Ovis aries: one gene and its partners. The protein of the gene in region 1 purifies or fractionates together with the protein of each later gene. This does not show direct contact. Links are inferred from orthologs where the notes say so. Each region holds a gene or a part of one and is shown in the gene's direction. Other genes may lie near its edges.

Evidence for each region.
Region 2: the proteins of MAP3K5 (region 1) and ARRB1 purify together in Homo sapiens (affinity purification with western blotting; 3 studies listed by BioGRID and IntAct, with this or other methods). This does not show direct contact. The link is inferred for Ovis aries from reciprocal best matches to the Homo sapiens genes MAP3K5 and ARRB1.
Region 3: the proteins of MAP3K5 (region 1) and MAP2K3 purify together in Homo sapiens (co-immunoprecipitation; 4 studies listed by BioGRID and IntAct, with this or other methods). This does not show direct contact. The link is inferred for Ovis aries from reciprocal best matches to the Homo sapiens genes MAP3K5 and MAP2K3.

Annotation. Positions count from the first base shown.
Region 1 is NC_056061.1:62,061,234-62,066,590, reverse strand, and holds the start of MAP3K5 (mitogen-activated protein kinase kinase kinase 5), read left to right. Parts: upstream 1-2,267; 5' UTR 2,268-2,513; coding exon 2,514-2,937; exon of another isoform or gene 2,938-5,357. UniProt on the Homo sapiens protein: Serine/threonine kinase which acts as an essential component of the MAP kinase signal transduction pathway. Plays an important role in the cascades of cellular responses evoked by changes in the environment.
Region 2 is NC_056068.1:53,204,565-53,209,174, reverse strand, and holds part of ARRB1 (beta-arrestin-1), read left to right. Parts: intron 1-591; coding exon 592-643; intron 644-1,946; coding exon 1,947-2,058; 3' UTR 2,059-4,610. UniProt on the Homo sapiens protein: Functions in regulating agonist-mediated G-protein coupled receptor (GPCR) signaling by mediating both receptor desensitization and resensitization processes.
Region 3 is NC_056064.1:35,006,603-35,011,212, forward strand, and holds part of MAP2K3 (dual specificity mitogen-activated protein kinase kinase 3), read left to right. Parts: intron 1-260; coding exon 261-309; intron 310-1,034; coding exon 1,035-1,148; intron 1,149-1,244; coding exon 1,245-1,364; intron 1,365-1,762; coding exon 1,763-1,879; intron 1,880-2,759; coding exon 2,760-2,811; intron 2,812-3,898; coding exon 3,899-4,026; intron 4,027-4,454; coding exon 4,455-4,532; intron 4,533-4,610. UniProt on the Homo sapiens protein: Dual specificity kinase. Is activated by cytokines and environmental stress in vivo. Catalyzes the concomitant phosphorylation of a threonine and a tyrosine residue in the MAP kinase p38.

The DNA of each region.
Region 1 (5,357 bases):
CACAGAAGTTTGGAGGTTTGACAAGGTGTTGGAAATATTAAAGGATATATATTTATTAGTAATCCACCCATGTTTTGCTTCTGTATGATCAGCAATTCGTTAAATATCTATTTTCCTATGGTATCAAGTTCAAAAGCAGATGTGGATCACATAGATTGCAATTTCCTTACCAGAAGTTTACTTCCATTATTTTACAAATCTTTAGAAAAAGCTAAGGTCACTTGGCTTCATTGAGGATACAGTTGTGCAGATACAATTGTTCAGTTGCTAGGTGTTTCCCCTCATTATTTCCTTTCTTCTTTTAACCCCTTCCTACTTAACTATTTTATCCCTCCTTTCCCCCTGTTGTTTAGTCATCTGATACTTGCAACCCCATGGACTGTAGCTTGCCAAGCTCCTCTGTCCATGGGATTTCTCAGGCAAGAATACTGGAGTGGGTTGACATTTCCTTCTTACCCACTCAGGGACAGAACCCACCACTCAGGCACTGGCAGATGGATTCTTCACCACTGACCCAGCAGGGAAGCACCCCTTCCCGCCTAGCTTGCATGTAATTTGCAGTATTCTTCTACCTTTTTCATAGAACTTAATCATCTCGCTTCCTGGAGATGCAAAGTCCAAACCTATTACTTTATTTCACTGTAGGTTCCACTGATTCTCCTAAAGTTATAGCATTCTGGAGAAGTTCTCTGAGAACTTGCACATATGTTTTTACTTCCCAAGTAAGTAGATACTCTTTGATTGCTCTTAAGCAAGCCAGGCATTCCCCGCTCCCCAGCCCCACCCCTAGTGCAATTAAAAAAAATTGAAGTAATTGCTTAATTTCCCTCTTTCATCTGGCAGATAGATGATTTGCCAAGTCCAGGATAGAACCGGTTTTCTAACTCAAGTAAGTATACGGTGCGTTGGGGGAAATTTTATAAACTCAAATGGGAATGCAAATACTATACCGTTCAGCACTCGGAGCTAATCAATTATTCACGACAGCTGCTGCTGCTGCTGCTAAGTCGTGTCCAACTCTGTGCGACCCCATAGACGGCAGCCCACCAGGCTCCCCCGTCCCTGGGATTCTCCAGGCAAGAACACTGGGGTGGGTTGCCATTGCCTTCTCCAATGCATGAAAGTGAAAAGTAAAAGCGAGGTCGCTCAGTCGTGTCCGACTCTTCGCGACCCCATGGACTGCAGCCTACCAGGCTCCTCCGCCCATGGGATTTTCCAGGCAAGAGTACTGGAGTGGGGTGCCATCGCCTTCTCCGATTCACGACAGCAGAGCTATTGAAAACTTGAAAACGTAAAGTACCAGGGGCAGACCCGATAAATTCAGCCTGCCACTCCCGCAGAGCCACTGTCACCAATACACCACTCTCCAGTTGAGGCCGCCTGCAGGACCGTAGTTAAAATCCTCGGGCCTAGCGCCACGCGGGCCTCCCCACGCTACCCTCTTGCTCCCGGCGCGCACATGGGACCCGACCGCACGGCGGTGCTAGGCCGGCACCGGCCGGAGGAGGGCGCCGTGGTTACGGGGAACGTGGCGCGTGCCTCCTGGCGCTGGCTAAGACCCGAGTATTCGCAAGAGAGACTTTTTTTGTGCCATCCTATAGTCGCCTGCTCTCCGGGCTTTTGCCTACTCCAGGTTGTCTTGGGTGGGGAGCCCAGTGGGTGACGGAGGAGAACCTTGGCCTCGCGCGGTGCTCCGGGCTGGGCCGTGGTCCGGGAGCCGCGACGCGGTCGGTTTCGTCCGGACTCGAGCTTCCCAGCAGCGCCCTCCCCCGGGGCGGGCCCAGACTTTCGGTGCCGCGACGAGTGGGCGGCAAAAAGCCGGTGGCGGACCGGGCGAGCGGCTTCAAGGAGCGGGGAGACTCGAGCTACCAGGCTGGTGCCGGGGACGAAGCGGCCGCGGCAATCGGAAGAGAACGGGGCCGGGGCAGGAGGAGGAAACAGAGCCGATGAAGGGGAGCTGCCGCCGAGGAAGGAGGCGGATCCCTTCGGCGGCTGCTGCCGCTGTTCCGGGACGCGGTCCAGGGAGTCTGCCCGCCCGCGAGGTGCTGGCCAGGTAGCTCCCCACCCAGAGGGCGCCCTCCCCGGCCCCTCCCAGGGTGCCCGGCACGGAAGGAGCCGGGACCGCGTTCCCGGGTGGCCAGGGCGCACCGCACCCGGAGAGCGGCGCCCTTGAGCCGCACCGCCTAGCAGGTTCGCGAGCCGACTTGTCCGCCGGCCAAGAAAAGGAAGCCCTGTCCCTTCCCGCTCAGCCCGGCTCCCCACCCCTTGTACTCTACACCCTGCAGCGGGCGAGCGGCGCGGCCACGGAGGCGCCGAGGAGGGGCGAGCCGCCGCCGGGCAGCGGCGTCCCTTCGGGGGAGAGGGCGCCGGAGAGGAGGCGGCGGCGCGGCGCGGAAGGCGCAACGCGGGATGGCAGCTGCTTAGCAAGGCGCGCACGGAGCAGCCCCGAACTGTGGCTGGCCAGACGGTGCGGCTGGGCGGGAGACGCCGCCGCGGCAGTCCGGCCGGGAGAGATGAGCGCGGAGGCGGGCGAGGGCATCACTTTCTCCGTGCCGCCCTTCGCCGAGGGCGGCAGCTACCGGAGGGGAGGAGCGGCGACGGCGGCCGAGGGCGAGGAGACCCAGCTGCCACCGCCGCCACCGGGCAGCTTCTGGAACGTGGAAAGTGCCGCCGCTCCCGGCGCCGGGTGTCCCAGTGCCACCGCTGGGAGCAGCGCCACCCGGTGCCGGGGCAACTCTGGGGGCGGAGGCGGCCGACGGACCACGGTGGCCTATGTCATCAACGAGGCGAGCCAGGGGCAGCTGGTGGTGGCCGAGAGCGAGGCCCTGCAGTGCCTGCGGGAGGCGTGCGAGACGGTGGGCGCCGCCCTGGAGACCCTGCATTTTGGGAAACTGGACTTTGGAGAAACTGCGGTGCTGGACCGATTTTACAATGCAGGTGCGTGCGACTTTACAATGCAGGGCCCCAGCCTCCGCGGTCGGGGGCCACCGCAGGGGGAAAGCTGTTGTTTCCCACCCCCACCCCCCTGCTCCCGTAGAAAAAATCGATCAGTTTCTGGGCAGCAATCGAGCATCTTACTTATTTACTTCTTGCCCCACCTTAGGGGCAGTGAGCGGCGCTGCGTGACTGCTCGGCTCGCTCGCAGCTTGTGGCAGAGAATCTGACCCCCCGGCCGCCGGCCCGCTCTGGGAATCCAGGGGTGCGTGTGGTCCTCTTGAAGAACTTCTGTTCGCCTGCAGTGCGAGTTACTTGTCCCAGTCAGCCCTGCCCTATTCAGTGTTTTGGTTTCTCTTCTGTTAGATTTGGCCCACATTTTCCTTCTATATATACCTGTGCCTGTTTTAGAAGATGTCCTCATTTTTTTCCGTGTACTTTTGAGAGTACAAAAATTCTGACTTCTGCCACGCAGCCAGCTGCACGCAGAGTGGATCTGTGTGAATTTGCATGTTATGTCACGATCTTCCCAACTCCCTTTCCCTGAAGTTTAGTGGCTTGATTTCCCATCTCTTACCAATTTGAATTGTCAAGTAATTACTTTGAAAAGCAACTTTTGTAACTTGACACTAAACTTGCGAGATATCTCTGTTGGAATTTTGGTGAAAAAGAGCAGAGTATGTTTTTTATGACTCCATATACCCCGATGGGCTGGCAAGTAGATAATTTAACATTATGTAAAACGCTGATATGCAGTTTTAGTAACTAAGTTAGGTTGGCCATTAAAGTGTGCCCATTAAAGTGACTGCTAGAGTAATTCACGAAAAAAAATCTTTTCAGCCTATTACAGATTTCAGAAAGTGTCACTGCGATTCAAGTGACTGAAGCAATTTGCTATCTGCTAGCAAATGTTAGAGATAAAAGCATGTTACTGAAATTAACCTTTAGCACCCTGTACAACCAATGTTGAGAATATATACATTTTTTTTAATAAGTGTGGGCATAAAATTTGATTTAATGGTGCTTTCAGACAATAAGTTTCTTGCATTGTGATCACATAGAAGGTTTTATATTCCAATCTTGTTTCCAGTTCTGATTCTCTTCAGTCTTTTCAGAACACCTGAAGAAGGCTTATGTCAGTCTTGGAATTCAGCCAAAACTGAATATTTTAAGAACAAGAACTTCATGTTAAGGAAGCCAGATTAAATAAACTAGGATTTTCTGGTTCTGGTGTATTTTACCATCTTAGTCTTCATAACTGGACATGGGTAGAACATAGTTTAGCTCGGTTCTTTGTGTGACTTGCTGTAAAAATTACATAAATATAACATTTCTAAAAATTACAGCATTTTTATTTTTGAATTATAATTTGGAAAAAGCTTCAAAGAACTGAAAGATATATGAGGAAAACACCCAATGAAATGCTAAACCTATTTTTATTGTTTTGATAGATTGGGTATTTTTTTTATAAAATAATCTTTAAGCTAATTTGAAAGACTTTCCTAACAAGGTTCATGTAATGTTTATTCTCCAAATACTATCTCTGGGAAAGGGAGAGAGAAAGATTAGAAGGTACCAGACATTTGAAATGTATCTCATTTAATACTCCAAACAAGCCTATGAGGGAAGTAGTACTTAGCTATCTTCTTAGATGAGAAAACCAAGGGCTCCATCACTGGTTCAAGGTCATGGATAATAACTGGTCAATGGAGGGTCCCACTTTGAGTGCCTGACTCTAAAAGGTCCGGCTTCACCCTTGCTACGTCCATTTAGCTGGACTGATTTATTCTCAGAATTAAGAGAGGGAAACGTCAAACTCATGGTAGAGAGCTGGCAGGGACCCTGTGAGCCATTGTGTGCTTTGTGGAATAGTGGGGAGGAGGGCACATTTTAGGGAGACCAGTGTTTCCGGGCCAGCTCTGTCCCATCCCACTGGTGAGCTCAACTAGGCAGGCCCCAGTTTCACCCCTGCCTGTGACATGAACCCTCAGGTCTCTCATTCAGCAAGAAAACGTTGAAGATGTGGCAGAATGAAAATGGTATCGGTTTTGTTTTCTAAACTGAGGGAGGCCAAGGTGAACAGTAGTAGAACTCGACTTCTGATTTCTAAGAGAGCACTTGCTTGTCCTCTGTAAAGGGCCAGATGGCATAAACGTTGTAGATTTCGCTGGAGGTGTCTCTCACACCTCCTCGGCTCTGCAGGTGTTACTCAAGCGGAGCCATAAAGAGGACCTAAATAAATCATCATGGCTGTATTCCAACAAAATTTGGTTAATGGATGTTGTCAGATTTATGAAATTTATATCTCATATTATTCACAAAGTGATATTCTTTTGATTTTTCTTTTTTTTTCTTAACCATGTAAAAAATAGAAAAACCATTCCTAGCTTGCAGGCCTTACAAAAACAGGCCTGGTAAGGTTT
Region 2 (4,610 bases), on another chromosome or scaffold:
GGGCCATGTCAGGAGCCCTTGTCTCGCGCATCCAGGGACAGTTGAATGGTCTGCATGGATAGGATGATATCTGGGCACACCATCCCGGTGATATTTCCAAGTGATACCAGATTGGTCATATTTCATTAAACCTAAGACTGTTTCAGTCAAAAGAGACATTGTAGCACGTACTACAAAGAAAGAAAAATGTCCCCATAATTAAACTATGACATGCCAATGACTGTAAAACAAACCGCAAGTTCAGAGATGTGAAAATGTGAGTAAATAGTTATATTAGAGTTAGTGAGTCAGGCATGCAACAAAGGAATCTCAGTTGTGTTGGAGACATGCCAAAAAGAGCAGGGTCCAGAGATTTTCCCTTCCCCTGGTGCTGCTCCCTGGCCCTCCTTGGCTCTCCCTGGACCCTCCTCCCTGCATTTAAGCTGATTTGAGGTGTTTCTGAGACCAGGGACCAGCCCTGGCTTCCTCACTCCCGCTTTTTCCTTTCCCTCCCCTACCTTAGCTTAGTTGTCCCGGGGTGAGGACCTGTGCCCACCTGCCCCCTCACTCACTCGCCAGTAACCCGTGGGCGGTCATCTGCCCTGTGTTTAGTTCCAGAGCACGAGACGCCAGTAGATACCAATCTCATAGAACTTGACACCAAGTAAGCAGAACCCTGCCTGCAGACATGGGCGGGGTGGGCCTTGGGAGGTGGGCGGGGCTGCCTGGTTATATGCATTTATGCTAATTAACCCCGAGGAGCAGTGGTCTAACCCATCTGCTGAGAGCTGCCTCTGCTCGCCTCTTCAGCAACCCGCTTGCCTGCATGTGACTTGAAGGACCCTCGGTGCCTGTTCCTCTTCCTCCTGCCTTGGTGGGGTCTGTCTTCCTCCCTCGTCCTTGCACGTCCGTCAGTCCGTCAGTCCATTCGTCCATCCACAGCACCTGCTCGGCTGTCACAGGGCTGGTTTGTGGCCCTGGGCTGGGACCCTCCTACTTGGCTGGTGTCCAGCCAGTGGAATCAGGCTGTGGGGTGGGGAAGGTTCTGGGGATCTTCTTGTTTCTGACTCGTGAGGACCAGTATGGATGGCCCTGTGGTCAAAGGCTGTCACCTCACAGGACAGTGGCCAGAGGGGAGGACCTGGGCAAACATGAACCACCTCCAGGTCCAAGCAGCTTTCTCGCTCCAGCTCCAAATCTATGCTTCCTTTGTCCTCTAGGAGATGTGTCGGGTCTTAAGTCAGCCCATGGAGGATACCCCGTGCAGTTGGCTGAATTCTGTGGGGCTGGGGCCTGGAGAGTGGGCCCATGTGGACATGTTTTATTAGTAGAAGGGAGCTCACTGTTCTTAGAGGCAGCCCCTCTGGAACCCCTCTCAGGCACCCTCTTTCTCCACTCATATTTTTTCTGCTCCCCACCCTTATTGGGCTTTGCCTAGCCCCCACCCCAGCCCCCACAGACCCTGTGTATCCAATATCCCTCAGGGTAGAATGTGAGCTGACATTTCCTTGGAGAAAGGGCCTTTGGGGTTTTCTCAGAAAACAGGAATGCTTCCTGAGGGTAGTTCTTGGGTGGGGGCGTGTTCTTGGGGGACTCAGAATATGCTGTGAAACTGCTGTCGGCCTGGCCTCTTTGTGGAAATAAGTTCCTCCTCTGGCCCTAACCCTGCCTCACTCCCCGCCCCCACCCACAATTTGATGTGTGCCTGAACCCCAGCTTCTCAAGAGCTGGGTCGATTTCCAGCCCTTAGCAAACTCAGGCCTCCCTCTGGTATTTCTGCAACTGGCTGGTCCCACTGTCATTGATGGGCATCCAGATGTGCTGGCCTGGCAGGCCTTTCTATCCAAGACCAGTCCCAGAGGCCGGCCTCTGGGTCCTGCTGGGCTGTGCAGGCCCTCCGACCCCTCTGAGTAAACCTCCTCTCCCTGCCCTGCAAACACGCCTGTTTTCCTTGTCTTTCCCACCAGCGATGACGACATTGTGTTTGAGGACTTTGCCCGCCAGAGACTAAAAGGCATGAAGGATGACAAGGAGGAAGAGGAGGATGGTACCGGCTCTCCGCGGCTCAACGACAGATAGACTGGAGCCGCCCTCCCTCCGGGCAGCTCCAGGTCCACTCTCATGCGCTAGGATGCTTGTTCGTCTTCTTCCTGTCCTGACTCCCCCTCCCCTTTGTTCTTCCAGTTTCTACCAGGGGGCCCAGCGGTCTTCCAGGTCACGATGGGAACCCCTGGCCTCAGGATTGGCCCCCATCACCATGCCAACTGGGCCACAGGCAACACCCTCACCCTCTCACCGCATCACTTCTCCATCCCTCCTCTTTTCCTGTTGACCCCTAGACAGGCCAGCACGGCTCTGGCCTTAGAATTTGACTTGGGATGGGGAGCAGAAAGGGGAAGATGGGGCACAAGGGCTTGGCGGGGTGGGGATGGAGGCTCAAGACACGTGAGAGGATGAGGCCACTGTCCCGGGTGATGAATACAGTTCTGGCAGCTAAAACATGACCGCTTTGAAGGCCACCCTCCTCTGGTTGGGAGGGGACAGGCCCATGGATAGATTTTCCACACAGTTTTGCTCGAAGTTCGGACCCACCAAACACCTGTCTTCTTCCTCCCTCGTCCCTGCCCCCGTCCCTCTGTGACTGACAGTGACCTTGGTGAAGGTTTGTAGACCCCAGGAATGGAGCAAAGCAGTTGGGCTGACTTTCTTACCTGCAGTTACCTAGTCTAAGGCAAGTCGTGTGAAGTAGCCCGAGTCTATGTCAGTATCATCAGGATGTAATATCCTAGCTGCCTGTATCTTGCCTGTGTGTCATCCGCAGATATGCACAGAGTGCGACAGAGAGAAGGGAGGGGCCTTCGGAAAGCACCAAGGTCTTGAGGAGGTGTCCTGAAGGGTGACTATGAGATGGGGGTGGGGTGAGAAGATGAGAGTCTGCCCAGCTCCCTTCCTTAAGAGGGATCAGCGATCTGGTGGGAAGCAAGACTGAAGGGCCAGAACGATTGAGGCCACCAATGTCTTCCTGCCCTTGCAGGTCTCCAGGGCTGGACTGGAAGAGAGCCCCTGAGACCACCGTGCCCACAGTCAAAGGGGGTCCTTCCATAGAAGGTAGCAAGGTCCACTGAGTTGTCCTTACCTAAAAGGAAGAGGGACTCTTTTGTTTCCTTGGGGAGCTGATGACCACCCCCCGCCAATACACACACACTCACACACACACACACACACAGTGATTCCCACTGTCATGGGTGTACAGTACCCATGGGCTGATGTTGGTGTGATTAGGACATGGGGCATACTTCCAGGGCAACGGGGCAGGCAGACGATGAGGCAGAAAGTGTTAAAAGTTAACTGTTTTTCTCTGACCTTTGATGCTCACTGCTGTGTGACTTTGGGCAAGTTCCTTTCCGTCTCTGGGCCTCAGTACTTCACCTAGAAAACCAAGGGGTTCGAGCAGATGATCACAAGGGGCCCTCCCAGCTCTGCCTCCAAGAATTTGTGAGCATTAGAGTTTCTGGTCTGGTGGGTGGAGCCAGAACCACTGATTCTGGTCTGTCTGCCACCAGTGAGGATCACTGAACCCGAGGGGTGGTGGGGCAATAGACAGCACCTAGCACCACCACCCTACACCCACTCCAGGCCGAAGAAGGGCCCTTCTAAGGTCCCTAGACTGGGCCAGGGTGAAGGGTTGCCTGATGTCAAGCTGTGGCTGTAGTTAGCATGAGCCGCTTGGCCCTAGGGACCAAGTATTACAGAAGGTATTGTATTTGCTTGTATTTGCTGAGGCGTGGCAGGGGGAGGGGAGGAGAGCTTGCGATAGACACGGTACTACTTCACACCCTCTTTGGATGTCCTGAAGTTTGCCTCATATCCAAGCAGATGTATTGATTAGCAGGGCAAGGGGATCTCTTCCTCCTTTCTGTCTGTGTCCCATACTTGTGAAAAGGCAGATGGCCAAGTTTTATTATATAAGCTGGATCTCAGCTCTTCAGTTCAGCCCCTCCTGGGATGGACTTTGCAACCCTTTTCCATGGTGAAATTACCCAGTTCATATGCCTGGCACTGCACCCCCGCCCTTCCCTGCTGAATCTCACTCCAGGGACCCCCACACTAGGTCAGAAACAAGCCAGCTTGGGACAGTCGCACTCCCCCAGTCAATCCTAGGGTCCCAGCTGCATCCAGTCCCTCCCAGAGCTTGCTGGACAGTTTGTACCTCATTGGGCAGCTGGAGAGTTAATGAACTGTTGGAACAAGGTGTGGCAAGCATACGCTCTTCAGGGTTGCCTTCTGGAACCTTTGGGGCTGGTACAAGACCCTTTAGGATATGTGGTGATCACTTACCTACAAATAGACCTTTCTCCATGTCCCTAACGCAGTCACACAAAAGCTTTGTCAGGCTGGTTTCTTAATCTCCTTCCACCTCAAAATCACACTGACCATTTTGGGTTTATCACAGTGCTGAACTGAAATTTTCCAGCTGCAAAAAGCATCATGGGCCTATTTAACCTTTTATTTCCTCTTTGGGCCCAGGACTACAGAAGAGCAGTGGTCAAGTTCACTTGGCTTAACCATGCTTGGTTGACAACTTCTCCACTTGGTGCTAAGCACTGGAGACGCAGTTGGGTCAGTCCCAG
Region 3 (4,610 bases), on another chromosome or scaffold:
GCCTCTGGTGCTTCCTGGAAGGCCTCCTGCAGGGGCCACTGTGGGGGCCAGGCCGCCTGTGCGGGCGGCATCTTCTCCAAGCAGCTGCGGGGGCTGTGTGCCTCACATGTCCTCTCGGAGCTCTCCTTGCCTTTCTGAGGGCATGTCCATGTGACAGGCCATGTGCTGCCCCGCAGATGCTTGGTGACTGTGGGGGAGGGCGGGGACCCCCTTGAGAGGGCAGAGCTCTCTGGGGCTCACACCTCCGCTCTCCCCTGCAGGCTCCCCCGGAACCTGGACTCCCGGGCTTTCATCACCATTGGAGACAGGGTAGGTGTCAATAGACCCTGGGAGGTGTCTGTGGGTGGAGACAGAGCTGGGCTGTGGAGGGGGGCTGGCTCCCCGACGCTGACCAGGTGGCCCATCTGGTGGCTACCTCCTGGGCCCTGGGGAGCTAGAGTCACGGTGCTCAGTGTGCAGATCCCTGGCTCTGCCCAAAGGGCCTGCATTTCACTGGCACCTCCCGACGCCAGTGGTTCCCCTGGGAGGCCGTGTGCTGCCCACAGGACATGCTGACGAGTCTTGTTCATCTGCCTGCTTGCTTCCTCTGGCAGCAGGTCAAGAGGGAGGGTGGGCGACCAGGGCCCCGCTGCTCCCTGGGAGACAAGGCCTTTCTTTTGTCCTGTCTGTGTCCTCAGAGCCTGAAACAGGGACTTACACACTGTAGGTGATGAATAAGTGAGTCTGGCCACCTAAGAGGGTGGGGCGAGAGGAAAAGGGCATCTCTTTAGGGCCCAGCACCGCTGAGAGTGTTTCCCAGGCTGATGTGCTGACACCCTGTAGTAGCCTTCTGATGTGGGTGCTGTGCCTGTTTTAGAGAAGGTGAGGGGAGGCTCAGAGAGGTTACATGACTTACCCCAGGACACACAGCAGAAGTGGCTGGTGCAAGACTTGAGCACAGGTGACTGGCTGGTGATTCTCTTTCTGCTGCCCCAGCATCTCCACTGGTGCCTGACTTGGCCCTTCTGAACCCTCTCTCCTTTCTGTCCCCTAAGAACTTTGAGGTGGAGGCGGATGACCTGGTGACCATTTCAGAGCTGGGCCGAGGTGCCTATGGGGTGGTGGAGAAGGTGCGGCATGCCCAGAGTGGCACCATCATGGCCGTGAAGGTGAGCAGTGTCCCCGACCCAGGGCCATCAGAGCCGGGGGCACCTGGGGCTGCACCCCTGCGGCCCGGGCTCTAACCGCAGCCCCTCCCCCCGCAGCGCATCCGAGCCACCGTGAACTCTCAGGAGCAGAAGCGCCTGCTCATGGACCTGGATGTCAACATGCGCACAGTGGACTGTTTCTATACCGTCACCTTCTACGGGGCCCTCTTTAGAGAGGTGAGGAGACACAGCCAGCCTCCCCTCTGGCAGGGAGCCCAGGAGCTCGGGCTTACCCCAGGGGATGCTGCACCCAGCCTTCTCAGAAGGCTGTCCTGGATGGGGTGTGGGGGTGGGGACAGTATGTTGCCGGTGAAGGGACCCATCGGCCAGGGTCAGAGCTGGGATGAGCCGTGGAAGTAGGAGTCTGATGGGGGACAGCCAGTGTGACAGTCGGGGAAGGCTGCCGCGTGGACCCAGCAGTGTAGGCGAGCCTTGTCGGGGAGGGGCTGGGAGGTCAGAGAACCCCTGAGGGCTGAGGGGTGGAGGTGTGTCAGGGGCTGGCTGGCTCCATGGGGAGGATGCTGGGCCAGGTAGCCCTGGGCAGATGTGGCTGAACTATGGCTATCTACCTGCAGGGAGATGTGTGGATCTGCATGGAGCTCATGGACACGTCCCTGGACAAGTTCTATCGGAAGGTGCTAGACAAGGGCATGACGATTCCAGAAGACATTCTTGGGGAGATCGCTGTGTCTGTAAGTGGGGTTGGGGGGGTCCCAATGGTAGTGTTTTGGGCAGAGCTGGGCCCCCCGTGTGGCCTCCAGCTGTGGCCCTGCAGCTGGGCAGTTGCCCTTGGAAGCCCCAGGTGCCCCCACCCTGGACCAGAGCCTGCTCAGGAGACCCCAGGGCCCTGGAGCCACACCGATTTGGCAGAACCAGGATCTCTGGGCCTTCCTGTGCAGTTCCTGAGTTTTGAGGCCACAGAAGAGAACTTAGTGTTCACAGCTTCCTTATCCTGAAGATGCTTGGAGGCAGCTCGCAGAGGCATGTGGTCAGGGGAGAAAACCACGGGTCTTGAGCTTGCATGTCCTAGGGCAGGCGGCTCCCTGGGCATGAGCACCCAACAGCCAAAGCAGAAGGGGAATGGGGTCTGTGTACCTGTGGTCCTCATCCCTGACCGCAGCTGTGAACATGTAAACATACCCCCCCCGCCCAGGGCGTTGAGTCAGGATCTTTGGGGTGATTCCTGTGGGGAGTGGCTCTGAGCATGTAGCCCAGTGACTGCTGGTAGGGGAGGGGGCGGTGGATGCAAGCCCGCTGCAGAAGGGCCAGATTCTACCCAGGAGTCTGGTGGAGGGAGGGACAGCATTCTGGGGGTTCATAAGTCAGACTCGCCAGGGTCTTGGTCACATCACCTGAGACCCTGGCCCATTCAGAGCAGTGCAGGAACCAGGTGTATCAGTATCAGGGTGGCCAGGACATTACAGCAAAGGCTGGGATGTGGGCGGGAGCCTCAGGTGGTGAGGGGCTGGGTGTGACCTGGGAGAGGGCGACAGACCGCCCTGGCTGGGGAGCCTTCTGGCTCTGTCACTGTTGATGGACCTGTCTCTCTCCACCTCTCATCCCAAACACCAGATCGTGAGGGCCCTGGAACATCTGCACAGCAAGCTGTCCGTGATCCATAGAGGTCAGTGCCTGGACTGGCTGGGGAGGAGGGGCCTGGCCTCACGTACACGTCCCCATGGTCCTGCCGGGACCAGTGCCAAGGCTCTGGGAGGCGACAGGCCGCAATGTGCCCGCTGGGTCCAGGCCGCTGTCCACTCCTCTCAGCCATTTCTGTCAGCCCCCAGGCCCAGTCCCAGTTTTGTTCCCTGGTGCTCAGAGCACGGACAGGGTTGATCTTCATCCTGGGAAGGCCAGCCCATCTTGTCTTGACGTATTGTTTACGTGTTGAGGAGTGTGCAGGTGGGATGTGTACTGCTGCACGAATCCGATCATCGTTTATACTGGGTCACGCCCACCCTCCCCTCCCTTTCTTGCCCTGTGACGCCCCAGTCCCCGACTCCACTGATTTTCTCATGGGGGTTGGTTTTGCTTGTTCTCAGCCTCCCAGTTGGGCCAATGATTCTGAGACTCAGTGGGGCTGTGTGTGTCCTGCCTGTCCCCTCCCTCTGTGTTCTGAGGGGTCTGCTTTTCCACACAGAGTTCACTGGGCTAAGCCCCTTTGACCACTGAGTGGTCCCCAGGTCACTGCTATTGGCAGGTTTTCGTGGCCCCTTTGGGCGTCTCTCTGAGCCCCTGCAGATGTCCTTGTAAAAGGCAGGAGGGATGCACATGTCTCCCGTGCGTGTGCTTGCTGGACGGCCCCGCTGTGCCCCCTAGCTCACTCTGTGCCCACTCCATGTCCAGCTTGAGTCCTGGGGCTCTGGGATTTCCCACAGACCTGCCTCCCGTGTTTGAGCTGTTGCCTTGTGCTTCCTGGCCAAGACTGCCGACCCCTCAAGGTGGATATTGGGTGGTTTACAGTGCTCATACTGTTAGTGATGGGTTCCCTGCATTTGGGTGGACCCCAGAGCCAGAGGTTGCACTGGTAAGTGGAGGCTGAGTCCCAACTGTGAAGCTGCAAAGACACGGTCCTGGGGGAAGCCCTGGAGCTAACTTCTCTCCCCACCTGTGGCTGGAGGCTGGGGCTCCTGACTGTGTGGCTACCAGCTCTGACCTGGGCAGTGGGGGCCAACAACCAGTAGCTGAAAGGCGTGTCCTACTTCTGGCAGATGTGAAGCCATCCAATGTCCTTATCAACAAGGAGGGCCACGTGAAGATGTGTGACTTTGGGATCAGTGGTTACTTGGTGGATTCTGTGGCTAAGACAATGGATGCTGGCTGCAAACCCTACATGGCCGTAAGTGGGGTGCCCAGGTCATGCCCAGAGGAAACAGCCAGGCTCAGGCACCTTAGCTGTGTCCTGCTCCATCAGGAATGAGGCCTCCCCAGACCCCGAATTTCCTTCTAGAGGGAGTCTCCTGCTCAGCCCTCTCCACCCCTTTCTGACTGGCCCCACCGTGTCCATTTGGATGATAGGTTTCACCTCAGCGGGGTGGCTGGTGGGGCCTGTGGGAGTTGCTGATACCCCAAGGTGAGACCCCCAGGTGTGGCAGCTGTGTGGCAAGACTTAGGCTTCCACCTCGAGACCCCGGCCCTCACCAGCCTCAGCTTCCACACTTGCTCTGGGGGAGGTAGGATGGGTGAGCACTGGCCCCTACGTTTTGTGGGGGGCAACCAGACCCAGCTGAGGGGGCCTGGGTGACCCTGCTCTGGCTCCTCTTCCAGCCCGAGAGAATCAACCCAGAGCTGAACCAGAAAGGCTACAATGTCAAGTCTGATGTCTGGAGCCTCGGCATCACCATGGTACGTCCTGGGGCACCCTTGCTGGTCGGGTGGAGCACAGGTGGGGGCTGTGCCAGGTCTGTGAGCTTCTGGGGGCCA